Linked DNA regions of Oryctolagus cuniculus. The protein of the gene in region 1 purifies or fractionates together with the protein of each later gene. This does not show direct contact. Links are inferred from orthologs where the notes say so. Each region holds a gene or a part of one and is shown on either strand. Other genes may lie near its edges.

What was found. The genes of interacting proteins can lie anywhere in the genome.
Region 2: the proteins of TSPYL1 (region 1) and ZMYND8 purify together in Homo sapiens (affinity purification with mass spectrometry; 4 studies listed by BioGRID and IntAct, counting the BioPlex papers as one, with this or other methods). This does not show direct contact. The link is inferred for Oryctolagus cuniculus from reciprocal best matches to the Homo sapiens genes TSPYL1 and ZMYND8.
Region 3: the proteins of TSPYL1 (region 1) and DDX24 purify together in Homo sapiens (affinity purification with mass spectrometry; 3 studies listed by BioGRID and IntAct, counting the BioPlex papers as one, with this or other methods). This does not show direct contact. The link is inferred for Oryctolagus cuniculus from reciprocal best matches to the Homo sapiens genes TSPYL1 and DDX24.

What each region holds. Positions count from the first base shown.
Region 1 is NC_091436.1:54,883,215-54,886,959, reverse strand, and holds the start of TSPYL1 (testis-specific Y-encoded-like protein 1), read right to left. Parts: upstream 2,241-3,745; 5' UTR 1,718-2,240; coding exon 422-1,717; 3' UTR 1-421.
Region 2 is NC_091442.1:12,509,821-12,513,465, reverse strand, and holds part of ZMYND8 (MYND-type zinc finger-containing chromatin reader ZMYND8), read right to left. Parts: intron 2,302-3,645; coding exon 1,792-2,301; intron 1-1,791. UniProt on the Homo sapiens protein: Chromatin reader that recognizes dual histone modifications such as histone H3.1 dimethylated at 'Lys-36' and histone H4 acetylated at 'Lys-16' (H3.1K36me2-H4K16ac) and histone H3 methylated at 'Lys-4' and histone H4 acetylated at 'Lys-14' (H3K4me1-H3K14ac).
Region 3 is NC_091451.1:38,925,389-38,929,033, forward strand, and holds part of DDX24 (ATP-dependent RNA helicase DDX24), read right to left. Parts: intron 3,233-3,645; coding exon 2,726-3,232; intron 1,527-2,725; coding exon 1,373-1,526; intron 1,095-1,372; coding exon 579-1,094; intron 1-578. UniProt on the Homo sapiens protein: ATP-dependent RNA helicase that plays a role in various aspects of RNA metabolism including pre-mRNA splicing and is thereby involved in different biological processes such as cell cycle regulation or innate immunity.

The sequences.
Region 1 (3,745 bases):
ATCATTAAGCCCCAGTAATTGTCCACAGACCATGAGCCTGTAATGCTGGATGCAGAGGATATGTAGAATGGGCTTCCAAACCAACCTAGAAATGCAGGTGGTAGTAACCAGAACAAAGGCCCTGGGAACAGAGTGTAAGCAGTGTAGATAAAGACAGTGCAATCTACAGCCATCATTTGCTTGGCTTTGCAGTGGTGTGAACCATAGCCATGCAGCACGTGTTATTAATGCAGAACAGCATGAAGGTCATGTGGAAGTAAAGCAGCATGCCCATGATGGTCTCAAGTTTGAGGTTTAGAGGAGGGAATATCCAGCAGAAGACAGGGTGAAGAAAGGTCAACAAGACAGACCCATCACTGTTACCCCAGCACAGGTCCAGCAGATAGTAAGAGACCTTGTGCAGCATTCCCAAGGGTAAGGGTTAACCTGACTGGAATCCAAAGGGCCTGGGGATCTCCACTGGCTCCCTAATTGGTCGACGTCTAGCTCTGCGAACACCTTCACGCAACAAGTAGTACTGCAGTGGATTTGGCCACAAGTCCTCTTTGATAATCTCAGCAATTCTGTCAGATTCTGGAAGGCTGTGGTCTGAAAACCAGGTGAAGAAACTGCAGATGAGGTCTTGGTTTCTACGGATGAAGGACTGGGGTTCATGTCCCCTGCGCCATATGATTGGCGTAGAAAGAGACACTACTCTCCCAGAGGATCGGACCTCGTATTCCTTGACAATCAGCTTATTTCTGAAGTAGGGATTTCTTCGAAAGAAGAACTTGAACTTGCAGCCAGTTCGGGGGTGTCTGAGTTCCTTCACCTCCAAATTGGATATGTACCTTAACATGTCTGCATCTTGGCCCCTAATCATGCCGGACAGCTGGGGATGGTTCCGAAAGGCAGTCATCCAGAAACCCGGGATGTTCTGAATGATGTAGTTTCTCCGCTCCAGGTAGTGTCGACGCATTCGCCCAAACTTCTGCTCCAGCTGTTGGAAGGCCCTGTCAGCCTGAGCATTCACAGTGTCCAGCTCCTGTTGGATGGCCTCCAGGGGGTTCATGCGCAGAACCACATTGAGATGCCAGGGCCCTGCCTCCTCCTTCACCTCCTCTACCACTCCGTTTTCCTCCACCACTTCTATTTCTTCACCTGCTGGCTTCTCCACCTCCATCTCCTCCGCCACTACCTGCTTCTCCTTCACGCCTTCCGTCTCCACCACCTCAGCCCTCTCCTCATCCGCGGCTTCTGAGAAGGAGGCACACTTTTCAATCTTCACTTCCTCCGCCTTCGCCCCCACCATCGCCTCACACTCCGACCTCTCTGCGCCACAGCTTTCGAGAGCCTTCTCCTCACCCTGGAAGACATCATCAAGCCTGCTGCGAGTTGCCACCACCATAGAAGCTGCTCCCAGTCTCTCTGAGGGAGGCGGAGCCTCTTCCCGCCCGGCCGTGATCGCTACGGGACCGCGACCCCCAACGACTCGGATCGGGGGAGCATGCCCACAGCTCGCGGGATCCCGGGGTGCGTCCCCCTCCTCTAAAATCTGGGGCGGCGGGAGCGCAACGGACCCCAAACTTCCCTCACCCGTCTCCGCCATCACCTGCGTCGCCTCGGTTTCCTCGCTGAGCCTCAGGCTCTGGTCCGGATCTCCAGGAGGATGTTCGGGAACAGTAAGGCCGAGGGACTGGGGGAGAGAGGTGCTCTCGACCCCATGCAGGCCGCTCATGTCAGCAACGGTTAGCCAGCGGCAGGGCAGAGTCTGTTTTCCTCACAAGCGCTGCGCTCAGAGATGCACTCCCCCTCACGCCCAACCAGCGCTGTCGCCCACCAACCTCCCCACGCAGGCGTCTCCGGGGCGGTGACGTCAGGGCGGTAGATCTCACCGCCTCGCGAGAACTCGCTGCGCCCGAGGATTGGCTCATCCGCTCCCTGCCGCCAAGCGTATTTTCCTAGTTTCGCTACTGAGTTTATCCGGTTGGAAAGGCAATTATATTTACGTAAATAAATGTAGGTCGTCCTCGAAGACCGACGGCAGTGACGACTTTTCTTTCAATGCATCAGGAAACCGCGTCCAGCATATAGGCAGAGTGATTCAAGGGACTTCGGTCCTCACACTGCGTGCCGTCCAGTGTCTGAAAACATGTTTTTGTGGTTTTCAGGGTTTTTTTGAGGCAGAAAGGTAAGTCTATTCCACTACTCCGTCTGGTTGGGATCAAAAATATTTTTAACCAGATGAATAGTGAAATGTTTCTCCTTCCTGAGGTGGAAGTGACGTGACCTTTACCCTCTCCTCAGCAGTTTTTTTTTTTTTTTAACACCAAAGTGATGCATATTATTTACTGCTGGTCTTCAATTTATAATCTGCATTACATCAGAATTTTATTTGCTAAATCTTGTTCCGTGCCCCTTCACTGTTAGAGGGAATGATAGCTATTTACAATGCCATAACTTTGATTTATTAACATGTTTAGTTCTGTAAGATAGGCAAGTTTGGATCCAATGAAATACCTATTCATGGCAATCAACCCAAGAGAGTTCATTTGAAACAGATGTCATGTCTTTGGTTTAGTTTGCTGACTTGTGAGTGAAAGTGGTGTTATCTTGGGGCCTCTACTCACCACCGTTGTTAAGAGGATAATCCAGGTGGTTTTGATGTAGAAAACAAATTTGTGGAATGCAACATGCAGCTGATTGACTTAAGGTGAAAAGCAGTTTTATGTACTGATTTGCCTTGTATGATAGGCTGATGGTCCCCAAAGAGGATCATGTGCTGATCCTCAGAACTTACTAGGTGGCAAAAGGAGCTTTCCAAGTATGGTTAAATTAATGATCTACACAAGTGAAGATTATCCTAGATTGTCCAGGTGGGCCCTGTGGAATTACAATGGCCCAGATAAAAAAGGAGGCAGCGTGTCAGAGAAAATGTGATGACCAAAGCAGAGGAAAGTGAGAAAAATATTATGCTGCTGGTTTTGAAGATAGAGGAAGGAGCAAGGATCCTAGGAATGAGGTAGCCTCTAGGAGGTAGGACGGTAAGAAAACAGATTCTACCCTTGAGCCTCCAAACGAGTGCAGTCCTCCCAACACCTTGATTTTAAGAAGTCGGATAATAAATTGTCACTTTAAGCTATGAAGTGTATGGTTGTTTGTTTCAGAAGTAATCTGAAATAAATCCACCTTGCGTTAGATTTCGTTGCATGTACTCATGCCTCAAGTTGTTTCTAACAGCAGCCTCTTCAGCTTTCTCCATTGCTTCCCCTAACGTCTTGCCTACTAAGTATGCTTTATCACTGCTTGAAATCCTTTGGATATTGAAACCAAAAATGTACTTAGGCAATACACAGACAAAGTTGAAGCCCAAACATACCACAAAAGATATTTGAGAAGACTGAACTGCAGGAGGACAAGATTGTGGTTTATTTACCTCTGTTTACCTAATAACTAACACACTGTCTTGCACAATATTCCATAGATTGTGTTAAATTAAGGAGAAAATGAATACAGTTTCTCCTGATTGCAAATTGGTACTTGTAAAAGAGAAGTAAGGGACTTTTGGATTGTCACCCTGCTTTCGTCCTTATCCACCTCTGGATACTGGAGGGCCACTGTACTGGGCACAGTCCTGGTTTGGAGAATTAATTTCTGCATGTGTGTCAGAGCCTCTAAAAGCATAGAAAAACCACAAAGAAAACTTTTATTTTATAAATAGTTTACATTTGTGTGATCACACTGTATGATAAACTGGGAAGACCAA
Region 2 (3,645 bases), on another chromosome or scaffold:
GACTCGTGAATTACCATCGGCCTTGCGCAGCAGTGCAAGGAAGAACTCCAGTTCTCACCAGCGGAGACGCCTTTATGTGGGGCACCGCACGAGCTCGCTTCATGGCTAGGAGCTCAGACCCAAAACGGAAGCCCAGCCCCCCGATTCTGAAGCCGGAACAGGGCGCGCCGGCAGCATAGCTCTCGCCAGGCCCTTCTGCCCGCCTGCCCTCACCGCCCTTCCATTCTGTGTCTTCCCTCTTGTTTCAGGGCTACACCACCTGTCGATCCGTTGCAAAGCCTTTCTGGACGACGAAGGGGCGTAGCGGGAATCAATGCAGAGCCGTTCCAGACAGAAGGGCTTGGCGTGGGCGTCACGGGAGCCCTGCCCCCACCACACCCTCGGGGGACAAAGGCCAGCCCCCCGCAGTGTTCTCTGCAACCGGGGACACCGTCTCTCAACCCCAATCCTCAGCACAAGGAGCATTTTCTGCGCCCCTCTCGCCTAGGAGATGGCCCTGGGCTGCTGCCTCCTGCTTGCCCACCAATCCCTTCTCTCTCCACTCCAGGGCAGTCAGCGGCGGCTCCCTCTCTCCTGTCACCGCGGGCTCGCGGTCAGCCGCAGGACTGAGAACCACAGGCAGCTGGGAAGGGAGCTCCAGGCAGAAGGGCGGCAGCCCCAGGCCAGGCTTCTCCCGGGTCCTCAATGAACTCCTCACGACCCTCGCCCGCCTGCCAAGCCAGCTGGAAACTACGCTGACCACCTGGGCTGTGGGAAGGGCACCCTTTGAAAGCCCCTGTTCTCCTCCCAGAGGGTCTGCTCACGGGCTGGGCCCTGGGAGGCTTCAGACCACAACAGGTGCAGCGGCCCTCAGTGGGGCAAGCTGTAGCCCGCAGGGGATACTGGCACCGTCTGCCTAATGGGGAGAAGCTGGGGCAGCCGACTCCTGCCAGCACAAGACAAAGAACTACCAGGGGCAGCCGACTCCTGCCAGCACAGGACAAAGAACTACCTGGAGCTGAGCTCTACTGAACGCAAACGGGATGGGACACCAACGCGGGGCCCGGCGCCCCGGGGCCCGCCCATCCCCAGTGCTCCAAGGAGCCAACACCCACAGGGAGAACACTGGGCGGCAGGAAGGGAGGAAGAGGGAAGCTGAACTCATCCAGATCTGAGCTATTCAATGCTTATCGGCTGAGCCCTGTCAAATGTCTGAAAGCTCACAGTGTCCTTAGGGAAATGAGTCAGCGTGCTGGGAAGATGCTACTTGGGCTAAAAATGACTTGACCGGGGCCAGCGTTGTGGTGAAGCGAGTAAAGCCAGCCCGTGACACCAGCATCACATACGGGCACCAGTTCAAGGCCCGGCTGCTCCACTTCCGATCCAGCTCCCTGCTAATGCACCTGGGAAAACGGCAGAAGATGCCAAGTGCTTGGGCCCCTGCACCTGCTTCGGAGAACCAGAAGAAGCTCCTGGCTCCTGGCTCCTGGCTCCTGGCTCCGGATCGGCTCAGCTCCAGTCCTTGCGACCATTTGGGGAGTGAACCAGAGGATGGTTCACTGTCTGTAACTCCCCCTCTCAAATCAGTAGAATCTTTTTTTAAAAAAACTGAAAAGGAAAAGCAATTGTGTTCCGCCTGGAACAGGTGAGAGGCGGGCGGGGGCTGGTGTAAGCCGAGGCTCTGCTGGCCCACTACCTGAGGACCACACCAACCACAGCTGGCACCAGAGGGGCACGGCCCCTTGGATGAGACAAACGCAGGGCGGAACTAGAAACCCAACGAAGAAATGGGGACCGGCCGCGTGCACTCACCGTCCTGCTTGGGAGACGGCTCTTTGGGCTCCTTCTTGGTCTTGCGGCCCTCCCGCCCCGCGTGGTCATCGCCCAGGTCGATGACCAGCTCGCTCTCCGAGTCGGAGTCGAGCCCCAGGTGCACGGTCGGGGAGTCCGTCTCGTCCTTGCCCTTCAGCTTGTCCCTGGTGGGGTGAGGGGAGGGCTTCGCTTTCTCTGCGAAGTCCTTCTCGGGCTCGGGGCTGGCCTTGTCCTTGGCCGTCGCCGCAGGCTCTGCCTTCTCCGCGGCCGGGGGCGAGCCCTTCAGCTCCTCTTTCACCTCGGCCGGGTTGGCAGGCTTGGGCTTTTTTTTGGCAGCGGACGGCTCCTTGTCGGCCCGACCGGCGTCCTTGTCGTCCGCGGGCTCCGGCTCGGCCTTGGGCTTCTCGTCATCGCTGATGTATTCGCTGTCGCTGCTCTCCGACTTCTCGGAGTCCTCGGAGTCGCTGTGCTCCACGGCCGTGTACACGTCTTCCGAGATCTCATTGATGCCTGCAGCCAAGAAGAAAAGCCGGCGTGTGCCGCAGCCGCGCACCTGGGAGCAGGGCCCAACGCAGAGGCTCCGCACGCCGCAGCCGAGGTCTGCACACACGCTTCACATGGTGTCACGCGGGCCGGCTGGGGCCACAGAGGAAGGGACGCAGCTCCCGGCCGCAGACCAGTGCCACTCGTGTGTCTGGAGGTGGTTTCGGGACTGGTATTCAAGCAAGGTGGGGGCGCGCTGACCTAAACCTCAACATGTACAACGCTGCTAACCAGCTGAGACAGTGGGAGGGGCGGAAAGAAAGCCTAGAGATTCCTCAAATGATCCAGCTCACAGATTGGAAAACAGAGGCCCAGAGAAATCGCTGGCCGTAAAGTAAACCACGACACAGGCATGGCGAGACCCTGGGCTCCTGACTCTCGCCAGCCCTGTGCCCGAAGCGTTCAAAGCCCTAACCCTTTGTGTAGGGCTCAAAGCAGGAAGCCAGAGCCTTGGGGGACGGGATGCGAACTCTCAGGCCACCAGCCCAGCGGGTGCGGAGGGGCAGGCGTGAAGGGGTGGGAGCGAGGCCTCGCCCCACAGGGGACCCAGGCGTCTGCATCTGGTGTTCTCACTTAGACTGTGTCACCCTGTTCCAAGTCAGGGAATTCTGCACAGAAATCAAGAGCTGTGGCTAGAACAGAAAGTCTGCCCGCAGCAGGTCACAGGCTGCCTACAGCCAGCAAGCCGCTGGCCCCCTCTGGGTGGGGGGAGTGTGTGGTTTCCCCGCAGCCCGGGGGCCTGGCCCTTCCTGCACCGGTGCAGCCGGCTGCCGTGGCATTTCCACGGTGGCTCCACTTCTGGAGGCATCAAGGGGAAGGCCACGCATTTCCAGGTCTCGGGCAAACAGAGTGGAAAGCAGTAGGCATTCCACACGCTCAAACCACAAACCCCAGGAAAAGCCCGCTCTCTCCTGACAAGAGCTCCGCAGGACACCGTCACGCTTCCTGCCCCGACAACGCCAACGCCATCGCCATCGGGTGTAGGGAAGCTCCACGGAGGCCTCCAAGTTTGAAAAGAAGACAGAAAACACAGTCAGCACTGCACAGTCCTGGGTGGAGGCGCCAGCCGCCCTGAGCGGGGTCTGTCCCCACCCAAAGACACCGAGAGCGACTTGCCAAAGGTAAAAGCCGGGCTCCATCCCAGCAGAGCTCTGTGGAACCTCAGTGGCTCCGCTAGGGCTCAACAAAAACCCAAGTCAAAGTTAAACACTCCGATCTGGATGAACGTCGGGACCTACTACTGGTAGCTAATGGTCAGACAAGAAGGTTCAAGTTCAAGCAGACCTCTGAAAGGAAAAGCTTGGGTCCCGA
Region 3 (3,645 bases), on another chromosome or scaffold:
ACAGAGCTGCCGCCAACTCTTCACATCCACGCATCCGTTAACCCTAACACTATGACGTCTATATATTATTATCCCACTATGAGCAAACTCAAGCACACAGAAGTCAAACAACTTGACCAGCAAGGAAGCAGTGGGGTCAGGATTCGATCTCATGAAGCCCAGTTCGAGAGTTTGTGCCCTTATCTACAAATCTATCCTGGATGATGGGGGAGTGGAGGGACGTGGTGTTTCTGAAGTGCCGGCCTAGGTCATAATGGACGAAGTGTCAACAACACTAGGTACTGTCCCCGTTACTCAGTGCTACGAAAGCGTCAGAGGACATCAGCAGCATCCAAATCTGCTAAACGCGGTGACCCTGCCGAACGCCATGCAGAAGGGGGCCGCCTGCTCTCACAAGGCCCTACAGCAGAGGTGACCGCCTGCTCTCACAAGGCCCTACAGCAGCAGAGGTGACCGCCTGCTCTCACAAGGCCCTACAGCAGCGGTGACCGCCTGCTCTCACAAGGCCCAGCAGCAGCGGTGACCTCCCGCCACTCCCGCACGGCGCTGCAGGCCAGGCCGAGGGCGGCTTCACTCACTCTTCCATTCGGGCGAACTGCTCCAGGTTTCGGAGCCGCTGCTTCTGGTGCATGCAGGCGTGCAGCGTCAGAGGCATGATGTCCAGGACCTTGAGGAGCCCGGAGAGCCGTTTGATGCAGGAGATGCTGTTGGCAAACACCAAGCTGCGGCCCGGGTACTGCATCAGGAAGTAGTAGAGGTACAAGTCTTTCTCCTCGGTCTCGCAGTGGATCTTGGTCTCCGTCAGGGTCTCCACCGTGGCCTCGTTCCTTGTGAGGTCGATGACCTTCGGCTTACCCCTCATGCCGACCTTCTGCACGAGGAGGTCGAGCTTGGCAGTTTTGTCCATTTTCTTGGTGTGCTTCTTATGAAGGAGTCGGGCGGGCAGCTGATGCACCAGGGTCAGTGTGGCAGAGAAAACAAGCGTCTGCCTCTGTGGGTTGTACTGGGAGTCATTGAGCATCTCCAGCAGCTGCGAGAGCTCAGCGAAGTGGCCCTTTTCCACCATCCGGTCAGCCTCGTCCAGTACCAGGCACCTGCAGATCCAGACAGACCCACACCGCTGGTCAGCGGCAGGTAAGAGGGACTCGACCCATTCGACCCCCGGCCCAGTCACACCCTCATAACCACACACACGCAGATACCCTACCACCACCGCTAGGGCCTCGACGAGTCACCCCCACGCACACTTGGCTTTAAGGCCAGGGACTGAACGCACTGCCCCACGGCACTACGTGACAGAAGAAACTGCGCACATCACGATGCCAGCTCAGGCTCACTGCAGGACCAGGGGTGGGTGGGCACCATTTCCCACCTGAGCTGCCGAAGGTTGCTCAAATGAGAGTGTCTTTCTTTGATCAGCTCCCACAGCCTGCCTGGCGTGGCGATCACTATCTCTGGATGGCGGTTCAGCATCCTCTGCTGTTTCTGCGTAGACATTCCACCAACCAAAATAGCAGTTTTAATTCCTGTGGGACAGAAATCATAGGGACTCTCATTCAGTTTGGCAAGTTATTTTCTTACACAGCTAATACAGGTAGCCCCAGATTAGCAGAGATGGTCACCAGCACAGATCCAGGTGCCAACGGGTGCTGTAAGAGCAGGTGTGGCCTGACCATGGATGCCACACCTACAGAGCATACCAAATATTCTGTAACCAGGGCCCGGACAATTTCTCCAACCTCACTTCTTCCTACTCTCTGCCCTCTGAGCCCAGGCACGCTGACGCCCAAAGCCCAGGGCAAACAGAGTGGTGGCAGACAATGACACTGGAGGACATTACCTGCAGCTGTGACATGCCTCTCCCGGGGGCCTCCCCCTCCTCACTCACAGTTAATCCGAAGCTCCTCTAATGCCTCCGCGGGTGGAAGACTTCTCACGGCCCCCAGTGCGGGGAAGAACAGCAGGATCAGGGAAAGTGCCCCGCTAAGCGCCTCGCACACACTATAATTCCCACTGTGCAGCCCTTCCTGAAAAGAATTCCCAGGGAGAATTAAGACTTGTTCGTAAGAGTCACTAGTGGGACCAGCGCTGCGGCGTACTGGGTAGGGCGCCTGTGGCGGCGGCATCCCATATGGGCGCCAGTTCTAGTCCCGGCTGCTCCTCTTCCAGGCCAGCTCTCTGCTGTGGCCTGGGAGTGCAGTGGAGGATGGCCCAAGTGCTTGGGCCGCTGCACCCCATGGGAGACCTGGAGGAGGCTCCTGGCTCCTGAGCAGCACAGCTCTGGCTGTTGCGGCCAACTGGGGAGTGAACCAGTGGATGGAAGACCCTCCCACCCCGCCTCTCCTTCTTTTTGTGTAACTCTTTCAAATAAATAAATTTTTAAAAAAAAGAGTCACTAGTAAATGTTACTCCTGTGGGCCAGACAGTCCAAGTCACAACCACTATCTCTACTCAACTTGGCCTTTGCAATACAAAAGCAGCCACAGGCAGTGTGTACCCAGATGGGTGCCCTAACCATCCACCGTATCCAACAGACTAATTAACGTCCCTGAGTCTAACACGGCACCAGCAAAGAGAGCCGAGACACCGCCACCTGGTTTTCCGTAGGGCTTGCTGCTCAGGCACACGAGAAGCAGCTTCCTCCGAGGGCGGGAGCCACCGCTTCTTTACCACGAGCATTTAGGCGCCAGGCAGGACGCGTTCACCGCGTGAAGGCAAACCTCACCTGTAAACCTGGCCACGGCGTCGATGTGCTGCTTGACCTGAACGGCCAGCTCGCGGGTGGGCGTCAGAACCAGGCCGAGCAGGGGGCGCGCGGGAGGGGCCTCCCAGGCCGCAGCTCCGCCCTCCGACTCTTGCTCAGCCTTTCCGCTCGGCTCTTCACCGAGCCCTTCCTCTTCATCCTCACTCTGTGTGCAGACGGCATTCTCCTGGGTCAGGGAGGAAGGCCCTTCACCAGCATCACTCTCGCCACAGAGCGGCAGGGCCTGGGCTGAGACGGTGGACCCAGCCTCACCGGGAGGCACTTCTTCACTCTCAATTCCAGTCCCGCCAGGTGACACGCCAGACTCAGCTGCCGACTTGCTTGGTGAGCCAGTCTCGGTTCCAACCTTGGTCCTGCTCTCCCCGGGTGGCATTCCAGCGTTCCCTGAAACAGGGCTGGGCTTCCCCTTCTGCCACTGCAGCACAGCGTGAATCATGGGGATGGCAAAGGCGAGAGTTTTCCCACTTCCTGTAAAACAAACAAAACACAGTGTCAATCAACAGACGCACAGTGCTTCTGTCTGAAATTCTCTCTTCTGCACAGAATAAGGGACCCTGAAATAACTAAGCACCACCTCCACCAACCCAGAACTCCTCCACTTTGCCCAAGTTCCCCAACAGCGATGTAACCAGAAGGCAGCTGTAATCAGCAGCTGCAGGAAGAGTCTGAGACTGGCACTGAGACCCGACGTCACCAGTGATAACTCTCAATTTCCAAGCGAGGGGCCGGCGCTGTGGCACAGCAGGCTAAGCCACTGCCTATGACGACAGCATCCCATATGGGCACCACCGGTTTGTGTCCCAGCTGCCCACTTCTGATCCTTCTCCCTGCTAATGGCCTGGGAAAAGTGACAGAAGATGGCTCAAGTGCTGGGGCCCTTG